2 linked regions of the Danio rerio genome follow. The protein of the gene in region 1 purifies or fractionates together with the protein of each later gene. This does not show direct contact. Links are inferred from orthologs where the notes say so. Each region holds a gene or a part of one and is shown in the gene's direction. Other genes may lie near its edges.

The links. Proteins that work in one complex are often made in the same cells at the same time.
Region 2: the proteins of cmtr1 (region 1) and dhx15 purify together in Homo sapiens (co-immunoprecipitation; 3 studies listed by BioGRID and IntAct, with this or other methods). This does not show direct contact. The link is inferred for Danio rerio from reciprocal best matches to the Homo sapiens genes CMTR1 and DHX15.

What each region holds. Positions count from the first base shown.
Region 1 is NC_133198.1:38,481,765-38,486,356, reverse strand, and holds part of cmtr1 (cap-specific mRNA (nucleoside-2'-O-)-methyltransferase 1), read left to right. Parts: coding exon 1-35; intron 36-1,035; coding exon 1,036-1,104; intron 1,105-1,316; coding exon 1,317-1,364; intron 1,365-2,995; coding exon 2,996-3,108; intron 3,109-3,199; coding exon 3,200-3,308; intron 3,309-4,385; coding exon 4,386-4,521; 3' UTR 4,522-4,592. UniProt on the Homo sapiens protein: S-adenosyl-L-methionine-dependent methyltransferase that mediates mRNA cap1 2'-O-ribose methylation to the 5'-cap structure of mRNAs.
Region 2 is NC_133182.1:76,857,819-76,863,743, reverse strand, and holds part of dhx15 (ATP-dependent RNA helicase DHX15), read left to right. Parts: exon of another isoform or gene 1-392; coding exon 393-515; intron 516-2,388; coding exon 2,389-2,579; intron 2,580-5,155; coding exon 5,156-5,325; intron 5,326-5,925.

The sequences.
Region 1 (4,592 bases):
GGCACTGACGTCAGAGATCAGCACTTCAACCAGAGGTCTTTTTTCACTAACTACTGCTTTACATTTATGTGGTTAGCAGATGCCTTTTTGAATCTTAACAAATTTTGAAACCTTTGGCAACCACAGAGTTTTACCTCATTTTTAACATTGTATACTTTCTGATTTTAGTTAGGCTGCACGTATTTACAGTCCCTAAGAAATCAAAACTAACCATATGGTTTTGTTAGCTCTCATCATTAGTTCTGTGGTGAACAATTAATCTGTGAATGTCAAGAAAAAAAATGCCCTTCTAATCTTTAGTTGAATTTTGAAAATGCACTTCCTGTTTGTTTCTCAGTAAAGTTGTAACAATGTATATCTTAAAAATTGGGCGTGGCTAGCATACTTAACCACGCCCCTCCAACTCAGTTTTGACAACAAACAGAAATAGTAACGAGGAGGTCTCTGTTAGGTTGTAATAACTCTCCCCAAACCCTTTTCCCCATCTTTCTGAATTATATTTCTTTTAAACTATATTCCTTTTCTATTGAACAAGACTTCTTTATATATATATATATATATATATATATATATATATATATATATATATATATATATATATATATATATATATATATAAAAATAATACCGTAACGTTAAGCGCCACCTGCTGGATTAGTATTTTTATTCAGCTTATAAAAATGTTTTAGTTTGGATTAGTTTCTTGCAATCAGTATTTACTAAATATACTGTAAGTAAAAATGTTGTCGATGTGACCGGTTGCAACCTGAAGTGGCGATGAGGTTTAAAATATATGGAAAGAATCTTTAAGGGTATTGAATTTTTTCTGTATATAGCCTGTTCTCTGATGATGTCATTGTACAAAATATGCTTAGTCACGCCCCTAAAACAATTAATTTGCTAAGATAGTTGTATATACATCATCCTGAAATAAAAGTCTGCAGCAACTTCTCGTTCACAGTGACAATAAATGTGCCCGCAGGAAGAGTCCTTAAATTAATTTTAATGCTACTAGTGTGTTTGTTGTTGTTGCAGAATCCAGATGGTGGAGAAGTTTGTGAAAGCCGTGTCCAAACCCAGCAGGCCCGACATGAACCCGATCCGGTAAAATTTTTTTCTCTCCGTGGTCGTTTTTAATTGGCATGTCAGTGACGGATGATCTGTGAACACCGGAGGGAGCTGTATGTAAAATGGATGAAGATACAGTGTTTTACTAGAGCCTAGACAGGAGCTTTCATGTTTCGGGTGATATTATAATACAATGCGCTTGTTGTTTCTGCTTCATCCATTCACAGTCTTTCTCTTTCATTTATTAGAGTGAAGGAAGTCTATAGGTTGGAGGAGATGGAGAAAATCTTTGTGAGGTGCGTTCAATTATGTCAACCACATGCATGCATGCAGATTTTTTTGTTATTTTTTTGTTTGATTTATTTTGAATATAATTTTAAATGAAGTAAAACATGTTTTACTAATTAATTTTTTATAATGCATTTTATTTGAAAAAATTAAGCAATATAAAATATGTATTTGTACGTTTTTTTCCCGTATTTTAAATATTTCAAGTGAAATTTTAAACATAATAAAATTAAGATATGCATTCATTAAATTTATATTAAAATGAAATCGAATATTGTAAACGTGGAATATTTATTTTTAAATATAAACTAAACTGAATAAAACAAAATGTTATTTTATGTTATCATTCTTCAAGTAACTCAGTTTTCATGTTTAGCCTTTTAATTTTTCGTTCTGAAAATATTTTATTTTAAAAGTAACATATTTTAATTCTAAAATACAATAATTTTTTGTATTATTTTAATGTAAAAACTAAAATATTTAATTTATTAATTTTTCTCTATTTTGTTTTTATTGAAGATATTTTAAGTAAAATTAATTAAATGTTTTAATTTATATTTTCACATTTTAAATTAAAAAAAGAAAGTAAATTCTAAAATAAATTGTTTTAAAAGTTATTTACATTCTTTTTTTCTCAATATCATATAACTTGTTTAATAAACGCTGTCTTTTTAAAACAAATATAAAATAAAACCATGGCAAAATAATTCACTATTAAAATGACTTTTAATTAAAATATATACAAAAAATATTTTTACGAAATTCTGAGAATACTTTTTAAATGAAATCAAAATATAACGTGTATGATATAGATTTTTAAATTATTTACTTTTCATTGTGACTCATGATTTTTAAACAACAAGAAATATGAAATAAAATCAATTCAATTTACTTTTATTTGTGTAGCGCTTTTACAATGTAGATTGTGTCAAATTCAGCTTCACATCATTACAAAACATGTCAAAACAAATCTATTATAAAATGATTTTTGATTAAATTTCAAAGGAACAAAATAATGCATAATTTAAATAAAAGCAAGACTATTTTTTATTATATTAGTGTAAAAGCTAAAATATGTTATTTCTATTTTGTTATTTATTATATTTTGAGTTAAATTAAAGCATAAAGCATTCTATTTAATATTTTACATTTTAAATGAAATAAAAATCATTTACATTGCTTATAAATTTTTTCTCTATTTTGTTTTTATTGATTATATTTTAAGTTAAACTAATTAAATGTTTTAATTTATATTTATACATTTTAAATTTAAAAAAGGAAATAAATTATAAAATAAATTGTTTTAAAAGTTATTTACATTCTTTTTTTTCTCAATGTCAGATAATTTGTTTAATACACGCTGTCATTTTAAAACAAAAATGAAATAAAATAATGGCAAAATTAGGTAATACAATTATTTGTAATTATTATCTTGCTTTTATTATATTCTTTGTTTTTATTCGAAATGAATGAAAATACCATATAACATACAATAAATATATTTGTTATTTCTTTAATTTATCATAAATAATTTATATTTACATGCAAAATGTTATTTATATTAATTAACATGAAATGAAAGAAAAACTATTTTTATTTTCAAAAGTGCGCTCTTTTTTTTTGTTTTCTTTTCTCTCAGGTTGGAAATGAAGATAACCAAAAGTTCAGGAGGGATGCCGAGACTATCGTACACAGGCAGAGATGATCGTCATTTCCTCCCGACCGGCCTTTACATCATCAAAACAGTGAATGGTGAGGGCAAACAGCTTCATATCAATGCAGTGCCATGCTAAATTTGAATTTGCATTGATAATAATGATTATTATTTGTCTTTTTTTGACAGACCCATGGACAATGGCTTTCAGCAAAAGTTCTAAAAGAAAGTTTTTCTACAACAAGCAGACCAAAGAATCCACTTACGATCTGCCAGCCACTTCTGTGGCACCTTTCCAGTAAGTATTAAAGTAATCCGGCATGACTGGCACTACATTTTGGATTGAAGCCCTGAACATTAAATTACATTACAAACAAGATATTGCACAACTATTTCTGGCCTTAGCCTTCAGAATAAAAGAGCTTTTTTTTAAATCCACAACATCCTCTTTTTTCATATATTTATTATAAATTGAGTTTTTATTTGAGATTCTGTTTGGTTATTGCTGAGTAGTTTTGTTTAAAGACTTTTCTGGGCTTAAAATGATTGACTAAAATGGAGAATCATTTTGAACTCTGTTCTAAAAACAAGCAAGGCCTTTCAAATGACATGCACAGCTTATTCACAGGTTTGCGCTGACTGTGGGCTATATTGTGTGTGTTTTTGCACTCATATAAGTACTAAATGTATGATGTGTATAGTTTTTCTGTAATTAATAATATATCGGAGACCGTTAGGGTCTCTATGTGTTCATTTATGTTGCATTTATATATTTATTTTATATAATTGCAGACGTTACAGTAGGCTATTTTGCACTGTCATTGATCTGCAGTTATAATCATATCCTGTTCATAGAAAAGTTAGTAATAAACATTTATAAACAAGTATTTGTCTATAAAGCATCTGTTTTGTAAGAAGTGCTGCTCATGTTATATGTAAGCGACCCGTACAGCTTTACTGTAGACATTTATTCGAGCGAGCATGACGTCGACTGAAACTTTCTGTCATATACCACGCCCACCAAAAGGCTACCCTTGGTAGTGGAAATGCAAGCCTGATAAAGGTGACCCGTACCGACCCGAACTGTACCGTACTGTACCAGTCAGTGGAAACGAGCCATAACATCATGTTTTGTTTTATGAATGTGTTTTTGTTTTTACGGTGTGTTCAATACTAATTTCCCCTACTGTGTATATATATATATATATATATATATATATATATATATATATATATATATATATATATATATATATATAAAAGAATTATAATTACATTCATATAAACCCTGCATTCTTTCTTTATTTTGACAATATTTTAGTGTTTTTCGGGCAATGCTTTGACAGTTTGTTCTCTCTGTTCTTTTGCTCCTCAGCGTGTGTCATCAAGACAGGCTGTTTTGGGCTTGGGAGGAAGGCGTCCGAGTTCACGACTCCCAGACGAGGATCAACCCCGACAAGCTCTCCAAAGATGATGTGGTTTCCTTCATCCATAAGCACTATCAACAATAACCACAGACATGCACACACAAAGTAACAGACTGTTCATTCTCCTGTCCACCAGGAGGCGCTGTAGCTTTCAA
Region 2 (5,925 bases), on another chromosome or scaffold:
GTAATGAATTCCAGTATTGGCAACCCTAGTCCAAATAAATGGGCTTATGTAAATTTTAAATAATTAATTGTAAACGTTATGTGTAGCCTGCATGGGTTTTAAACAAACACAAATACCATCATTAAAGCGCGACTGACTCAAGTGACCTCATCCCACGGGAAGATTACCAAACCGCAGATTTAGCATCATTTCCACAGCCGCCATCTCTTTCTTGCAGAAAGGCAAATGAAAAGCAGAGCAGCATCTCTCCCCCCCGCCCCGTGCGTTTGGTGTAGCGTACCGTACCCTGTGCCGTGCTCTAGCCTCAGAACTAGGCCTTGTGTCCTGTCTGGGTGAACGCTTGACTCATCCCTATGGGCGGCTATGTTGGGGCCCATACCAACCTTGTTTAGTCCCACAGTGCTTTGTGCGTCCCACCGAAGCTAAGAAGGCTGCTGATGAGTCCAAAATGAGGTTCGCCCACATCGACGGGGACCACCTGACCTTGCTCAACGTCTACCACGCCTTCAAACAGAGTATGTATATACGACACACACACACTCACACATGCATTTGATTTTTTTGTGATTTATGGGGACAGTCAATGTTCTCATAATTCACCATCTAATTGTAATACCCATGTCATTTTACACATTTGTGTCCTGATGTGTTGCAAAAACACACACACACACACACACACACACACACACACACACACACACACACACACACACACACACACACACACACACACACACACACACACACACACACACACACACTTGCAGCTTGAGCCCATGTGACATGATTCCTTCCCCCATTTTTAATTAGCCTAATTGCCTACATATATTACAACTAATTTCAGGTTGTTTTTGTAGGTGGCCAAAATCATGATTTGTTTCATCAGATTGAGTGCCTGCGAGGCAGTGCGCTATTAAAACTGTTCAGAAAGACTGGAGTGTGGCTCATCCCTCACTTCAGCATGCATATTTTCTCTCAAAATCCCATGGGGATTCTCTCATTTCACTCAGTCTTTTACAGTAGCCATTGCTTAGATGGAGCAAGATAACAGGCATTGGAGTTTCTTGATGTTGATGTGAAGCTGCAAATTTCAGTTTAATTTGTCAGTACAGTAATGAATTTAAGCTTCAGAATGATTTTAATTAGCAGTGTTACAGATAATTAATCTTAGAACAAAGTTTATCCGACCATCCATCTATATCTCTATCTCCATCTGTCTATCCATATCCCCATCCATCCCCATCTCTATCCCAATCTATCCATCCATTTATCTCCATCTCTATCTTTGTCCATCCCCATCTCTATCCCTATCCATCTATCCTCATCTCTTTCATCCATTCATCCATCATCCCTATTCATTTCCCCATTCATCCAGGTATTCATCCCCATCTCTATATCAATCCATCTATCCCTATCTATCTATCTATCTATCTATCTATCTATCTATCTATCTATCTATCTATCTATCTATCTATCTATCTATCTATCTATCTATCTATCTATCTATCTATCTATCTATCTATCTATCTATCTATCTATCTATCTATCTATCTATCTATCTATCTATCTATCTATCTATCTATCCATCCATTCATCCCTATCTTTATCCCTGTCCATCTTTATTTCTATCCCTATACATCCATCTCTATCTGTCCTTATCAGTCCATCCATCCCTATATTTATCCCTATCCATCCATCGTTATTTCCATCCCTATCCATTCATCCATATCTCTATCCATCCATATCCCTATCCCTATTCCTATCCATCCATATTCCTATCCATCCATTTATATCCTAACCCTATCTATCATCCAAATCCCTATCCATCTATCCATATCTCTACCCTGACCCTTGTCCATCCATCCATCCATCCCTATTTCTATCCTCATCCATCCATCCATCCATCCATCCATCCATCCATCCATCCATCCATCCATCCATCCATATCCCTGTACATCCATCCATTCACATCCCTGTACATCCATCCATCCATCCATCCCTATTTCTATCCTTATCCATCCATCCATCCATCCATCCATCCATCCATCCATCCATCCATCCATCCATATCCCTGTACATCCATCCATCCATATCCCTGTACATCCATCCATTCACATCCCTGTACATCCATCCATCCATCCATCCATCCCTATTTCTGTCCTTATCCACCCATCTCTATCACTATCCCTGTACATCTATCCATCCCTATTTCTATCCCTATCCACCCATCTAAATCTCCATCCATCTGTCTCGTCTCTGTCTCTCTACCTATATCTATATGTTAGCCACACTCAATACGTCAGACAGATGTAATCTGAGAGTTTGACTTAAAACAAACAGAAAGTGCACAGTAACCTGTTTCTAATGTGTAAACCGTTCTGTTTTAAGACCACGAGTCGGTGCAATGGTGCTACGATAACTTCATCAACTACCGCTCGCTGATGTCGGCTGATAATGTGCGGCAGCAGCTTTCTCGGATCATGGACCGGTTCAACTTACCCCGACGCAGCACAGAGTTCACCAGCCGAGACTATTACATCAACATCCGCCGCGCTCTGGTCACCGGCTTCTTCATGCAGGTCTGTAAATATGCCAGAACTTAATAATATATTTAGTTGCTTTTTGCTTTGTATTGTTTTCGCTTTTCTTCTGTGAGTAATGCAGCAGTTTGTGGATGTAGATCACCACAAATACAAAGGTTAAAGTCTCCCATCAGAGATTTATTTGGTTAGATTTATTTTTTTTATATTTAGCGAAAAGTACATATATGATAGAAATGGCAGCTTACAAAAGGCCTTTCCACATTTTCTTTTAAACTTTTGCACCAAAAACAACAGATAAAACCGTCAAAATAATGTAGTGGCAGTAAAACTTTAATAATAATAATAATAATAATAATAATAATAATAATGAAATATATAAAAAACAATACAAATATATTAATAATAATTAATAATAGCAAGTAATTTAAATAATAATAATCATAAAAGTAATATTTAAAAAATAACAATATATAAATGCAAATAGTTTTAATAATCATCCATCATAAAAGTAATATATAACAAACACAACTAAATATAATAATTAAAAAAAATAATAATGCAAACTATTTAAATAATAATAATAATGCAAATTTAAATGATAATAATAATAATGCAAATAATTTAAATATTAATAATAATAATAATAATAATAATACAAATAATTTAAATAATACTAGTAATAATAATAATGCAAACAATTCAAATTAAAATAATTAATCATAGAAGTATTAAAAAAGTAAAAAATATAATAATAAAGCAAATAATTTAAATATAATAGTAATAATAATGCAAATTATTTAAAAAATAAGTATAATAATCATCATCATCATAAAATTAATATATAAAAATAACAAACATATAATAATAATAATAATAATAATAATAATAATAATAGTAAAAATGCTAATAATTTAAGTAATAATAACAATATTCATAAAAGTAATTCAAAAAAGCACAACACAATTTAATAATTTTAATAGTAATAATAATAATCATCATCATAAGTAATATATCAAAAACGAAGAAATAATAATAATGCAATTCATTTTAATAATAAAAGTAACATAAAAACACAACAAAAAATTATAATGCTAAATTTAGCAAATAATTTAATATTAATAATCATCATAAAAGTAATATATAAAATTTTTTAAAATATAATGGTAATAATAAATAATGTAAATAATTTAAATAATCATCTTCATCATTTTAAAAGTAATATATAAAAATAGCAAAAATATAATAATAATAATAATATTAATAATAATAATAAATGCTAATTTTTAAAATAATCATCATTAAAGTTATGTATATAAAAATAACAATATTGTAATAATAAATAGTGATTCAAATAATAATAACAATAAGAGTCATAAAATAATATATAAAACATCAAAATATAATAATAATATTAATAATATTAATAATAATGATAATAATAATAAAAGTAATAAAAGTAATATAAAAACAAAAAAAATAAAAATGATTAAAAATACATATGAAAACCTGTTGTTGTGTAAACCTAATAGGAAATTGACTTTTCATATTGAAAAAGTATGTAATTTATTGTTGAGAGTAGCGATAATTTCTTACGATAAAACATTTTCCAACAAAAATGCTATTTTTATTAGATGCTTTTTAAATCATTTATTTATTAAATAATATAAAAATAAACAGTTTGAAGATATTTTTAAAAATTATTTTAATTCGGACTTAAAAAATGGTGTCAAGGTGGAAGCATTTATGTGTCTTTAAAACACCATAAATGAGTAAAAACCTCTGATTGGCTGTTGTTGTTTTCCTGTCTCGTCTTGACGCCACCCATAAGTGTTTATTTTCAGCTTTGTGTTCACATTTGGGCAACTCCACCCAATAGCAGAACAGTAACTACTGGAGAGGCGGGGATAAAGATAGTAAGGCCCCATCTGATTGGTCAAATTTAGATAACCAATGCATAAAACAAATGTGATTTATAACACGTGTGTGCGATGCATATATTGCACATGCGTTTTATCGCGATAACAATAATTTTCACAATAATATATTGTGCAGCCCTAGTAACAACTTAAATCTACAGTTAGGTATTGGACTGAACTGAAGATAACAGAATAAAAGTCATTATAGCCATGCATTGAGTTGATCCTGTTGCTTAAAAGCTTAAAAGTCAGTACATCTAGTTTTAACCTTGATTTCTGCCTTCTGTCTGAATTAAAATCCTTGTCTGTTGGCAATCCAGAATCACTCAAGCTTGATAATGTAATGCACAGCTTTCTGTCAAAGTGTGACCATTTAATCGCATACAAGAAATCAAGGCAATTTCCATCCCACGCTTGTCGAAAAATAAACGGCGCTTTTATCGAAGGCCTGAAACAAGCGACCTGACTAGTTGAATTACTCCTTTAATATTGAAATATTTGTCAACATTAACCTTCGCTGAGACAAATTTGCACCATGGTTGTAAGAATTACCCAGCGTTCTGTTGCCGACGTCTGTTTGAGTGGGCCGTTTATTGAGACTGATTGCATGGGTTAATCTCCACATCCTCACACCGCCTGAAGTAACACCAGAGTTTGGTTGATTTATTTGTTCATTTGCGTGTCTTGTGTTATCAGGTTGCTCACCTGGAGCGCACCGGCCACTATCTCACAGTGAAGGACAACCAGGTGGTCCAGTTGCACCCGTCCACCGTTCTGGACCACAAGCCCGAGTGGGTGCTTTACAACGAGTTTGTGCTGACCACCAAGAACTACATCCGCACCTGCACTGATATAAAGCCCGAATGGTAAGCTCAAACGCATGCAAATGTGTTGATTAATGCGTTGTTTTTGCAACGGGCTGTTTACACCTGGTCGCTTCATGCATTAAAAAAAAGGTATAAATGCCCTCCGAAGGGATGTACAGTGTTAACCCTCCTGTATATTATTTATAATAGCTGATTTATTTTATCTTTGCCATGATGACACTGCATAATATTTAACTAGATATTTTTCAACATATTAATATTCAGCTTAAAGTAACATTTAAAGGCTTAACTTGGTGAATTAGGCAAATTAGGGTAATTAGTCAAGTCATTGTATAACAGTGATTTGTTCTGTAGACAGTAGAAAACAAATATTGTTCATGTTTAATATGTTTATGTTTAACACATATGTTTAATATATAAACATTAATAAGGGGGCTAATATTATTGACCTTAAACTGGTTTTAAAAAAATTAACAAATAAGACTTGCTCTAGAAGAAAAAATATTATAGGAAATACTGTGGAAAAATTCCTTGCTCTCTTAAACATCATTTGGGAAATATTTGAAACGGAATGATTTTGACTTCAGCTGTATATCTGATTGCTTAAACTGCTTCAGGAGGTGGTCTGGGACTGGTTCC